Linked DNA regions of Mus musculus. The protein of the gene in region 3 binds, or shares a complex with, the protein of the main gene of each other region. Links are inferred from orthologs where the notes say so. Each region holds a gene or a part of one and is shown on either strand. Other genes may lie near its edges.

Region 1 (4,022 bases), on a different chromosome or scaffold from region 3:
GGCTTGAGCCGCTCCAGCTGGCTGGTGTGATGTTCTAACTCTCCTAACTCTTCAGAACTGAATGCGCCTTCCCTCCAGGACACCTGTGTTGTTCTATGTCACACTCATCTCTCCAGAGCATACTCCTTTGAATATTCTTGCCCACAAGGGTGCATCGTTGCTGTCTGTGACAGCGGTGCCCTAACTCTCCTAATAAGGCCCACCTGAAGAGTAATTTCAGCTCAGTGTTCTTTCTGTGAATCTATCTTTTATCTATAACAACAACAACAAAACCTGAGGACTGTTGATTTCATATTCCGAGTGAAAACACTCCAAAAAAGTGTATACTAAATGACCCAATCCTTAAAAATAAATCAGAATTCCGGGCTGGTGAGATGGCTCAGTGGATAAGAGCACTGACTGCTCTTCCAAAGAAAGGTCCTGAGTTCAAATCCCAGAAACCACATGGTGGCTCACAACCACCCGTAATGAGATCTGACGCCCTCTTCTGGTTTCTGAAGACAGCTACAGTGTACTTAGATATAACAATAAATAAACATCTAAAAACACACTTTAAAAATAATCAGAAAAAAAAATCAGAATTTCAAGCCCTACTATACAGATGCATATATACAACTGCAGGCCCTTTGTGTTTGTATTCAAGTGATAGAGAAACTTATTGGGCAAGGTAAGGGAGGGAAACTTATGGATTTAACCAAGGAAATGAAAAAAGGAAAAAAAAACAAACAAACAAACTAAGCCACAGAGATAATAATCATGTGTAACAAACAACTGTGCTTAGCTAAACTGACCACGGTAAAAACCACGCGGGCAGAGGACCAGGTTTGATTCCGCAGCACTCACACAGTGGCTCACAGCTGCCTGTAGTTCCTGATCCATGGGATCTGACGCCCTCTTCTAACTTCCACAGCACTAAGCACACATGTGACGAATAGACATACAAGCAAGTAAACACTCATACAATAAAAATAGATATACAATTAAAAAAAATAAGACCAAAAAATGTCTCTGCTCGGGCCAGCATCTCCAACAAACCAAAGACGTCCGGAAGCCAGTCTTCTTGGCGTACCTACTCCAACAACCCGGGAGAAGCACAAAAACCCGTTCGCCTCGGGCCTTCCGTTTCCCGGAACTGAAAGGCTTAAGTCGAACATTCAGAAAGCCGGGGATGCCACAAGCCGCAGTTCCCTTTGACCGGAAAGCGACTAGGCTACCGGAAGCTATAGTTCACCGAGACTGAAAAGGAAACGTACCGACGGAAGTCGTAGTCCTGAAGGTCCAGGTCGAGCTGTCGGAGGCGGAGTCAGGACTGTACATCATGGCCGGGCTGGAGCTCCTGTCCGATCAGGGTTACCGGATAGACGGTCGCCGCGCGGGGGAGCTGCGCAAGATCCAGGCGCGGATGGGCGTGTTTGCGCAGGCCGATGGCTCGGCTTACATCGAGCAGGGCAACACCAAGGCACTGGCGGTGGTCTACGGGCCGCACGAGGCGAGTAAGCGGCGGGGACCGGGGGCTCCTGGCCGCACATCAAGGGAGGAGACCTAAGTCGTACGGCTTAACTCCTGAGCCCATGCAGCAGTATACTACAATCCCATCTGAGTCCCTGTGGGCCTCCCGGCAGAAAGCATCTCACACAGGTTGTCCCAACGTGTTGTAGCGGGGATGATGTGAGAACCTGGCTTCTTTTGACTTCATCTTACGAGCTCTTTCTCTTGGCCGACTTCCATTTCAGTCCTCTTTGTGTTGCATCCTCTAAGCAGTGAATATAATTATGCCCTGAGTTCTCAGGAAAATTGCGTCCCTAACATGGCCCTCAAATTTGTGTGTTAGGCCCCGTGAGGTACTGAGAATATCGGTTTCTTTAAGAACCCAGTTATGTTATGTGATTATGTTTTTGTTTTGATCCCACGTGTGGGGTATGGAGCTGCTTCAGATTGCCCTCAGCCACTATGATTTGTCTCATGCAGGGACCGGGGGCTTGTGATCCCACCTCGAGGGAATATACCTGTGTCTTACAGCTTAAGTCCTCCGTCTCAGTGGGCCCTCTGCTTAGCCTTTTTTTTTTTTTTTTTTTTTTCTCACGGGCTGCCCGCTTCATCTCTGAGGTGCCTCAGCCAGCCTGGCGAAGCTCCACTCACTCCCTGTTCCTTCAGCTCATTCTTCCCACATCTTGTCAGGAAAAGGCCTCTCAGGCTATTTCTGCACCTACTACATCGATTTTCCTGGGTCTTCCACCTTGCTTGTTTCTCTACGGGAACATAAACTCCTAAAACAAGGACATTAAATTATCTGCCTTTATTGCTGTGTCGCAGTGCTGTAGCAAGGCTGGCAAATGTGCACATTTTAAGGTTTGCTAGCATATGGAGCTCGGCTTTCTAGGTGGATGATCAGGTATAGAACACATGAGGGAAGACTTGGTAGGGAGAGGGACAGTAGATCAAATAGAGTTGAGGAGTTACCAAGGAGGTGAGGACCCAGGGCTTTGAAAGTCAGGGAAATTGAGATTTTTTTTCTTTTACATTACTGTAATGGGAAGCTTCTGGAAGGTAAGTAAAATATTAGTGTGTGGGTTACACAGTCAAACCAGATGTTTGTAATCATGGTGGCCACAATGGGAATAATTTGGGAGGAAATGGAGAAACTGAAGAACAAAGAGTTGGCTGCTAAAGGTGACAATGCTTTGGCTTAGGTTGAGAAGTAGCCCCCCCCCCCCACTCAGCTATGATTTGGAACCAGAGTAGCTGGGGTTTTGTTTGTTTGTTTTAGCACTTTAGAAAGAGGAGGAGGAAGGTTGAGCCATCGAGTGCGTCCCAGGAGGTAGGCAGGCCTGGCTCATTCATTCTTTTTCCTCTAGATCCGGGGCTCCCGGTCTCGAGCCCTGCCTGACCGGGCTCTAGTGAACTGTCAGTACAGTTCAGCCACCTTCAGCACAGGTGAGCGCAAGCGAAGGCCTCATGGAGACCGGAAGTCTTGTGAGATGGGGCTGCAGCTACGACAGACCTTCGAGGCAGCCATCCTCACACAGCTGCACCCCCGCTCTCAGATCGACATCTACGTGCAGGTGAGCTACCTGCACCGTCAAACCCCTCCCCCGGGGGCGGAGCTTAAAGCTATGTGGGCTGTCTGAGATGCTGCAGGATGCGGATGTCAGTCCATCAGATGTCTTGATGCCCCCTGTAGGTGCTGCAAGCAGATGGTGGGACCTACGCAGCATGTGTGAATGCAGCCACGCTAGCAGTGATGGATGCTGGGATACCTATGCGGGACTTTGTATGCGCATGTTCAGCTGGCTTTGTGGATGGCACAGCACTAGCGGACCTCAGCCACGTGGAGGAAGCAGCTGGAGGGCCCCAGCTCGCCCTGGCCCTGCTGCCCGCCTCCGGCCAGATCGCACTGCTTGAGATGGACTCGAGGCTGCACGAAGACCACTTGGAGCAGGTGCTAGAGGCTGCTGCCCAGGCGGCCCGAGGTGTGCACACTCTGCTGGACCTTGTCGTCCGACAGCACGTGCAGGAGGCCTCTGTCTCACTGGGGGACTGAGTGGCAACCACCCCTTTCCAGAATAAAGGCCTGTTCTTCTCCCGAGTACACCTTACTGTACAGCACTTAAAAGCTGCTCAGGGCCCTACAGCGCAGTTTATAGTGCAGTCCCTAAGTGGAGAGAGCACTTGTGCTAGGAAGAGCAAGGGTGCACCTGTTGTGCCTGCCCAGATATTAGGGTCCGCAAAGACCCCTGGGAGTATGAATCTGCATGCGAATTCAGACTTTCTTCACCCTTAAGCTTGGACCTCAGACTCCTCCAACACACCAGATTTGTGCTGAGAGCCCTGAGCCTCAATTAGGCAGGGTTTTTATACTAGTTTGATCAGGGAGCAGGGGTCTCCTGCCTGTCAGTTGCCTTATTTCGCAAAGTTATCTTTTTTTTTTTCCTGTTTTTTTGAGACAGGGTTTCTCTGTGTAGCCCTGGCTGTCCTGGAACTCACTCTGTAGACCAGGCCTGCCTCTGCCTCCTGAGTGCTGG
Region 2 (4,296 bases), on a different chromosome or scaffold from region 3:
CAGCTGTACAGGAGCCAGCAAAGACACTCTCACCAATGTGATAACACCCAAGTATTTGCTGCGCTCATCCTTTCTGATTAACAAAGAAATAAAACCAGTATTAGAATCATAGCTCTAGAGATCAATAACCTAGAGGACAAATCAAACCGGAAATCAAACCCGTAAAATGGAAAGCTTGTGGTGCCTATCAACTCTGAGTGAACAGAGTGAGACCAGGACCCTCTCCCCTCAGCCTAATGGGATATCAGGATAATGACGAGGCTAGAAAAAGACGTATTAAATGGGCCACAAGTGAAAAAGTTTTCCCTCAGGAAACAGAGAAAAAGCAAAGTCGTATTTACATCTAAATGTGGCGGGAAGGCACGAATGACCTGAATGCACGGAGGAGGAATAAAGCCAGCATAATTTCTCCACACTCCAAGTACTGCCACCTCTCAGTAGGACCCACAGGCCACAGTGGCCATCTGCCACCAGATTAGAGATTAGCAGGCAAGAGCACTCCCCTAAATCACCATCTGTATCTCAAAGAAGCCTGGCTGACAGGGAGGGAAGGGGAGAGAGCAATAAACTCCAGAGCCAATAGATGAAAGTGAGATCAAAGTCATGGCAAATTTCATCCGGAAAAAGCTGCTGCTCCCGGAACCTTTGCCACCTCAAGCTGATGTCAGATATCAATAAAGCACAATATTCTATTAATGAAGGCTTCTTTCCCGGCTAACATGCTAAAAGGGAAAAAAAAGCAAAAGGAATGCTATGCTAACGTCAAGCTGCTCATTCATAGTTAAGGAGCTCACACTCTATAGAGTATCTGCCTGCAAGAGAAGAAACTGTCGTTCTACAAAACTAGAAAAAGGTTGTGTCTCCAGGTGCAGCAGGGTCCATCTATGATGGGCTCAGGTCCAAAAAAAAAAAAAAAATCGGCTTAAGCTTGGGCTGTCTCGAACCAACTTCGACACTTTGTTGTACAAAGCAAACCTGGATCTGAGTCTTCAAACTCATGAAATGGGCGAGTTGGGGCTGAAAATGCGTTCGGACCTAGGAGGACGCATCCACGCAGGGCAGGTCGTAGAGAGATCAGGAACTTAACTTAAAGGCCTGGACACCGGGACTCGGATGGGAAGCAAGAACCGCGCCTTTACTCTTACCTGCCTCCTGCCAGCTTCTCAATCAGCCAGATTAGGCCCAGTCTCCCTGTCCGCCACCCACTGCCTCCCCTTCCAGCTCAGGACCCAGGCCGGGCCGAGCTAAGGCTGACCCACCATGGCCCTCAGCCCACAGCGCTAGCCAGCGGACCGGGACCCGCCGCCCGCCCATCACCACCCAGCTGCGCAGGCGCGAGGCCCGGAGCCCGCAAAGGCACGCCCAGAGATCTGTCCCGGGGCAGCCTGGGAAATGGAGTCAGACCTCGCTCTTACACCCCGTGCGGTCGAAGGCGCCAATTGGTACTCGTGTAACTGCGAGGCCGCTCCTCTAGCTGACCAATGAGAAGTCGTCTTGGTTCTCATCCGGGTTGTGGATGGTGGCAAGCATGGCACCACCGGTGAGGTACTGCATCCCCGGTAAGTGAGCGGTCTCCGCACGCAGTTCCAGGCTGTGTGGCAACCAGCTTCTGGGAGCCCGTGGCTGAGGCAGCTTGTCTTCTGCAGGCGAACGTCTGTGTAACTTGGAGGAAGGCAGCCCCGGCAGCGGCACCTACACCCGGCATGGCTACATCTTTTCGTCGCTGGCTGGCTGCCTGATGAAGACCAGCGAGAATGGCGCGGTAAAGGAAGCGGCTACCCAGCGCGCGTTCCCTCTCCGGGTGCCGTTGAGTTCCGGTCCTTGGGCACAGGCAGAGCGGGCGGACGCGTCTTTGGTGGCTCAGCCGCAGAACGCTTTGGTCTCCCGGCTGTGATCTCTGCGCTGTGCTGAAGCACACCGGCCGCACACCCGTTAGGTTAATCTGACTTAAGTTCTGTGGATGCACACAGAAGGAAGTGGAGGGAAAAGCACGCAAATGTAAGAGTAGCCCAGCCAGCCGAGAGCTTCCTCACGTGGTACATCTCGACTACCCCTCCGCTTTCATGTGTCCCACGTCACTGACATCAATGTAGTAATGCTGGCGATTTCCAGTGTCTTAGTGCACTAAGCTCGCTCTTGTCGCGAAGCCTGTGCAATTCACGTGTCGTCTATCTGGAACACACTCCTGCTCAACCCCTTTATTTAATCGGTTTTTTTAGTTGTTTTTTTTTTTTCCCAGAGAAGCCCTTCTGGACCTTCTGACTAAAAAAAAGTGGGTTTGGTGGCAGAAGGATCGATATGCCCAAGAATCTCCCTCCAGGGCACTTATTTAAATGTTACTCTTGATCACTAGATTCTTGCCCAACTAGACATTTAAGTGGAGCCACGATTGGTGGTACACCAGCGTATCCCCAGCTTCTAACAGGCACAGATAAAAGCAATCGTTGATACATGTAAGACGATAAAAAATAAATAAAAACTAAAACCTTAGACTTGTGGCTCATCAGTACAGAGCTTACGTAGTATGCTGACCCTGGGACCACAGATCCAATCTCCCGAAAAAATAAAAACTCTTTAGGAACTGGCTAGACCTAAACATCTCTCTTTGTGTTGAGCTTATTTGTAAAAACAGATTCCAGTCTGTTGGTTCTGGAGATAAAGTCAGCCTCAGCCTGTGTGTTTAGTCACTGCATCGATGTCTCTTGAGCACTTTCAATGTGACCTGCTCAGGGCTGCCCTTATTTGCTACTGGGGATAGAGTCACGAGCCCAATACACAGCTTTTCTTACTGAGGAGGCGGACAGAAATCATGAGCAAATGTACAAAAGAATTGTGCGGTACAATAAGAACATGTAACAGGCTCTGTGCATTCTAGACAGTGACAGGATTTAGTCATCTGAATATAAGTAGAGGTGGAGGAGAGCAAAGAATGTGATCCTCCTGTAGAGAATGGGTTAGACGGACACTGACATGGGAGGGACTTAGTAAGGTGAGGAAACCGCACCAAGCAAGAGAGGTAAGATGGTACTTGCCAGCTGCCATTGGACTAAAACAAGAGTTGCCATTCTGTAGCATTTAATTGCAAGATCTGACTTATGAAGTGTAAAAAAAAAAAAAAAAAGTATAGCTTGGAAGAGTCAGGATATTCATAATTATAAGCAAAAGGATTTGTACCAGGAAATTCCAAGAGAATCTTCAGTAATTTACAACTAATCAGAAAGGCTATATTAAACCTGGCCACCTAATTCTAATGGCTTCTGATCCTCTATTTCCTAAAATGACTGATGTCCTCTGCTATAGGCTAAAAACTAATCTACAGGCTGCTTTCTCAAACCAAGGCTTACTTAGCCACTACACTGACCTTTCTATTTTCTCCACAGGTTCCCGTGGTGTCAGTGATGAGAGAAACAGAGTCCCAGTTGCTTCCAGATGTGGGAGCTGTCGTCACCTGTAAGGTGAGCGGGTCCTAGTCACTGTGCTATAGCTGCCATGGTCGGCTGCTGAATTCAGTAGTCGCCTGGCTATATAGGGCTGTTGAAGTTTATTTGGATGTGTTGACTCAGGCCTTTAATCCCAGTACTTAGAAGGCAGAGGCAGGTAGATACGTGAGGCCAGCCTGGTCTACTGAGTGGTTTCAGAACAGCCAGGGCTTCCTAGAGAAACCCTGTCTCAAAAGAAAAGAAAAATGAAAATTTTATTTTTAGCCAGGCTACAATATAGATACGATTCATCCTATCTGTGGTCTCAGTATCTGGAAGCTGAACAGAGTTATTGGACAGTAGTTCAAGACCAGAATAGGCTACAGAGTGAGACCCTGTACCCCACAGTCCCAACGCTCTTCACATTTTAAGTAATCAGTAGCAAATCGTGGTTAGTGACTGCCATATTGGCTGGCATAGGACTTTTGTTTGGGGGGTGTGGGAAAGTGATGGACTCCTCTGAAGTACACCCTTGGGTCTAGCAAATGATTCTTTATTTTGTTTTGTTTTATCGCGTGTGAATAGTCACCTTGTCTGCGTCATATGCATGCCTGGTGCCACAAAGCCTAGGGAAGGGTGTGGCACCCCCTGGGACTGAAGGCGCAGATGACTATAGGCCCTCGTGTGCCTGCTAGGAATTGAATCCAGACCCTCTACCAGGGCAGCCAGTGCTCTGTAACTGCTGAGCCATCTGTCCAGCCCCAGGAAATGACATCACAGAAAGTTTTGCAGGCATAGGTGCACACTCCTCAGATGGTGCTTGAGAGGTGGGGGATCTCAAAGGGGAGCCGGGCTGCGTGGTAGATCTGTGTCCCAA
Region 3 (3,500 bases):
CAAAATGACCAAGTGATAACGGGCGCAGCCCTCAGCAGTGGCTAGCTCCTCTGTATACTTTATTTTCCGTCCTTGTAAGGGTGTTGCAGTAACTGATGTATTTAAGGGTAGTTAACAGAATGAATAGAGTTCCCTAGTTTCCAGTCTGGATGTCTTTGTTTCCCTCCTGCATTTTAAGGTGCCCTCAGCAGGATTTGTGTTGGGCTCATCCTAGAGCGTGACAGGAATCAAGGTTTTGGCCTAAGTGTGGGGTGGGGTGAACACTTACTGAGCTGGGGCTGAAAGGGAGAGAACAGTTTGCTGTGGAGAAGGGGAAGCAGCTGCTGGCAGTGTTCACCTTGTGTTTGTTATCTTTACAAGTGCTCAAGAGCCATTTGTGTGGCTATTGATATCAGGTGGCTTTGTGACTCTACCACCCAGGCGCTGGGATTGTGGATAATTCCCCACCTTGCCCAGCCTCTCACCATTAGAACTCAGTGAGCTCACTGTAATTGAGGGAGCTCTGACCAGAAAAGAGACACAGTCCAATGCCTGGGCCTTAACAAAGGGCATTTCACCCTTGGAATCAGGGTGAGGGACCAGCAAAGTGTCTGAGCCAGGCAGGCAGTGTGGACATGTAACAGCTTGCAGTGAGCAGATGCTTTAAGGATAGCTAATGAGAGTCTGAAGTTCCCAGGTCTAAACAGTAATTATACCCATGTGCTAAAAAAGATGGTTATTGCCTCCCTTCTGTTTGTTCAGCCTCAGACACTGTGTGGCCAGCCCGCTGGCTATTGGTAAGCTTCTGTTTTCTCTTGCAGATACAATGGAGAGGTCGGAGACATTGTAGTGGGGAGAATCACAGAGGTAAAGTCAGTGTTCATAAAGAGAAGGAGGCTGGCGGCTCAGGGATTGGGGCCTTCATCTGTGAAAGTATGAAGAAGGGGCCCTTTGTTTCTGGGGTGGTGTGAAATGCTATCCCACATTTATTTCTCTCACAGGTTCAACAGAAGAGGTGGAAGGTAGAGACCAATTCCAGGCTGGACTCCGTCTTGCTCCTCTCATCCATGAACCTACCTGGGGGAGAGCTGGTGAGTGCTCGCCTGCTCTGGAACTGTCCGGTCGGTCGGGCTGTGGGGCTTTGCTCCACCTGAGAAGTCTGCTTCACATGAGGTTGCTGTGGTTTTGTCACCAGATCTGCTACTTTGGTGAACACAGAGGCTTTTCTTCTAGCCCTGTGCTCTCAACATGGGCAGCAGCTTGTGTGTGGTAAGACCAGAAACACCCATGGCGTGGGCTCCCAGGAGGGAGCTGAGAGGAGGCTCTTGGGTCTTAGGATCTTAGTGCTGATTTCCTTTCTTGATGCCCAGCCTTGCACAGGGAAGGTGTCTCTTGAGGGGTTTGCCTTAGCTTGCTTGCTTTTTGGAGTGTGGGGTGGGTGGGGTTGAGACAAGGTTTCTCAGTGTAGCCCTGACCTGGAACTCACTATGAAAATCAGGCTGGCCTGGAACTCACAGATGTCTGCTTGCCTTGACCTCCCAAATGCTGGGATTAAAGTCATGTGCCACTCTGCCCTGCTTGTCCTTAGTTTTCAGTGACTTGAATGGTACTTGGTTATTGCAGACAGTGACAGGCTTTTGTCCATATCATTGTTGAGTCTGTCATATATTTTGGAGAGGCTCCCTGAGCTGGGTCCTATGGAGAGTACCAGATAAAAGGATGCACAGCTGAGTCCCACAAGGACCATATTATAGATGGGCGGAGGATATGTGATAACAGAGCTGTAAGGTAGCAGGAGAACGAGGAAATACAGGCACCAGAGAACAGATGTTCATAGTGGGACCGTGGAGTGAGGTTGGGGACTCAGGTGAAGGGAGATATGTGACCAGAGACAGCCTGGTGTGAAGTGTGCTGGGTGAGTGGGGCAGTCACAGTGAGTGTGCAGTTGCTCAGGGTCTGATTGTCAACTCAGGGTCCCACTGAGGAGAGCTACTGTCCTCTCCCTTGCTCCCACCTCGTCCTGGCGACCTCTTGTCATAATTCTTCGTATTACAGTACCATGGCTGGCTTCAAGCAGAGAGCAGTGGTGGGGAGAGCCCTTCTGAGGGGCTGTGTCATGTGTTCGTTTGTGCTTGTGTGTTTCAGAGGAGAAGGTCTGCGGAGGATGAGCTGGCCATGAGAGGCTTCTTGCAGGAAGGCGACCTCATCAGTGTATCCTGCACCTCATTCTCTCTCCCCCACAGGGCTGCGAGCGTGTCGGACTCTGTCTGGCCAGGGGAACAGAACCTTGTGGGACTGAGTCCAGGGTACCATGTTCAGGGCTCTGCTGCCCTACACTCATTTTCCTTAGCTCAGAACGATGCTCTGGGTTTTGTAACTTGTGATTCATGGTGAAGATCCAATGGTCTTTCCTTTCTTATTATAAAGGGTAGCCCAGGCTGTCTTGGAACTCACTGTGTACCCCAGGCTGGCCTCAAATACACGCATTCTTATTTCAGCTTCCTGAGTGCTGAGATGTCAGGCATAGGCCATCATTCTTGCCCATGGACCTGCCTGTGTCCAAATTAAGAAAATGTGGACCCAAATTTTCTTTGTTTGTTTTAAAAAATATTTGATCATATTTGTTTGTGCAATTGCTGTGTGTGGAGGTCATAGGACAACGTGCAAGAGTTGGTTCTCTTCTTTTACCTTGGTCTGAGGGATAGAACTCAGCTTGACAGACTTGATGGCAGGTGTCCACCTCACCAGCCCGCAGATGATATGACCATGTATCCATGAAAAGGTTGGTTGTAGCAAGATACTCTTGCCAACCAACCAGGGGGAAGCTGAGGTCATAGTGATATCTCCCATAGAGGGCCATCAAAGATGGCCAGAGTGACCTGCTGGTGATGGTGGTGGGGGAGAAGCTGGCTGCAGGTAGGTGGCACAAGGGAGGGTTGCCAAGGCTACTGTTGTTCCTTCATCACATGAGTAGGCGGAGGTCCAGGCTGTGTTCTCGGATGGAGCTGTTTCTCTGCACACGAGGAGCCTGAAATATGGGAAGGTAAGACAGGCTATGAGGCTTTAAGTTCAGTTCTGAATCCGAGTAGCTCCCTGCATGCTGACCTAAAGACCTGGTAGTTAGCTGGGTGTGGGGTCATGAGCCTATAATCTCAGCTCCCTGGAGGCAGAAGGAGGTGATTAAAACTGGAAGCCAGCATGGTTATATAGAGAGACTGCCTCTTCCTGCATGACCCCCTGCCCCCAACCTCCAATCTAAGAACAAAAAGCAACAACACAGAACCCAGTTATTTTGGACTAGTGACCTACCAGGATAGGGGACGTCTCCCGCCGGTGGCCGGGCAGAGTGGTTGGCATCCTAAATCCATTTCCTCCTAAGGAACCTGTTCTGGTAGAGCCCCTCTGCTTGGGGCTGTGAGGCTGTGAGGCTGTTCTTTCTGGGAATGCTCAGCCCAGCATTGTGAGGCTGGCCGCATGTCCACAGAACCATGTCTACAGGGCCATCATAGTGCTGCCAGAGA

The links. The genes of interacting proteins can lie anywhere in the genome.
Region 1: Exosc2 (region 3) and Exosc4 share a complex: the UniProt entries of both Homo sapiens proteins name them as parts of the RNA exosome core complex. The link is inferred for Mus musculus from reciprocal best matches to the Homo sapiens genes EXOSC2 and EXOSC4.
Region 2: Exosc2 (region 3) and Exosc1 share a complex: the UniProt entries of both Homo sapiens proteins name them as parts of the RNA exosome core complex. The link is inferred for Mus musculus from reciprocal best matches to the Homo sapiens genes EXOSC2 and EXOSC1.

Annotation. Positions count from the first base shown.
Region 1 is NC_000081.6:76,326,175-76,330,196, forward strand, and holds the start of Exosc4 (exosome complex component RRP41), read left to right. Parts: upstream 1-1,222; 5' UTR 1,223-1,253; coding exon of another isoform or gene 1,254-1,318; coding exon 1,319-1,489; exon of another isoform or gene 1,490-1,517; intron 1,518-2,855; coding exon 2,856-3,062; intron 3,063-3,181; coding exon 3,182-3,541; 3' UTR 3,542-4,022. UniProt on the Homo sapiens protein: Non-catalytic component of the RNA exosome complex which has 3'->5' exoribonuclease activity and participates in a multitude of cellular RNA processing and degradation events.
Region 2 is NC_000085.6:41,930,515-41,934,810, reverse strand, and holds the start of Exosc1 (exosome complex component CSL4), read left to right. Parts: upstream 1-1,496; 5' UTR 1,497-1,516; coding exon of another isoform or gene 1,517-1,528; coding exon 1,529-1,559; intron 1,560-1,646; coding exon 1,647-1,762; coding exon of another isoform or gene 1,763-1,801; intron 1,802-3,380; coding exon 3,381-3,455; intron 3,456-4,296. UniProt on the Homo sapiens protein: Non-catalytic component of the RNA exosome complex which has 3'->5' exoribonuclease activity and participates in a multitude of cellular RNA processing and degradation events.
Region 3 is NC_000068.7:31,673,715-31,677,214, forward strand, and holds part of Exosc2 (exosome complex component RRP4), read left to right. Parts: intron 1-800; coding exon 801-846; intron 847-980; coding exon 981-1,070; intron 1,071-2,124; coding exon 2,125-2,190; intron 2,191-2,651; exon of another isoform or gene 2,652-2,953; coding exon 2,954-3,022; intron 3,023-3,500. UniProt on the Homo sapiens protein: Non-catalytic component of the RNA exosome complex which has 3'->5' exoribonuclease activity and participates in a multitude of cellular RNA processing and degradation events.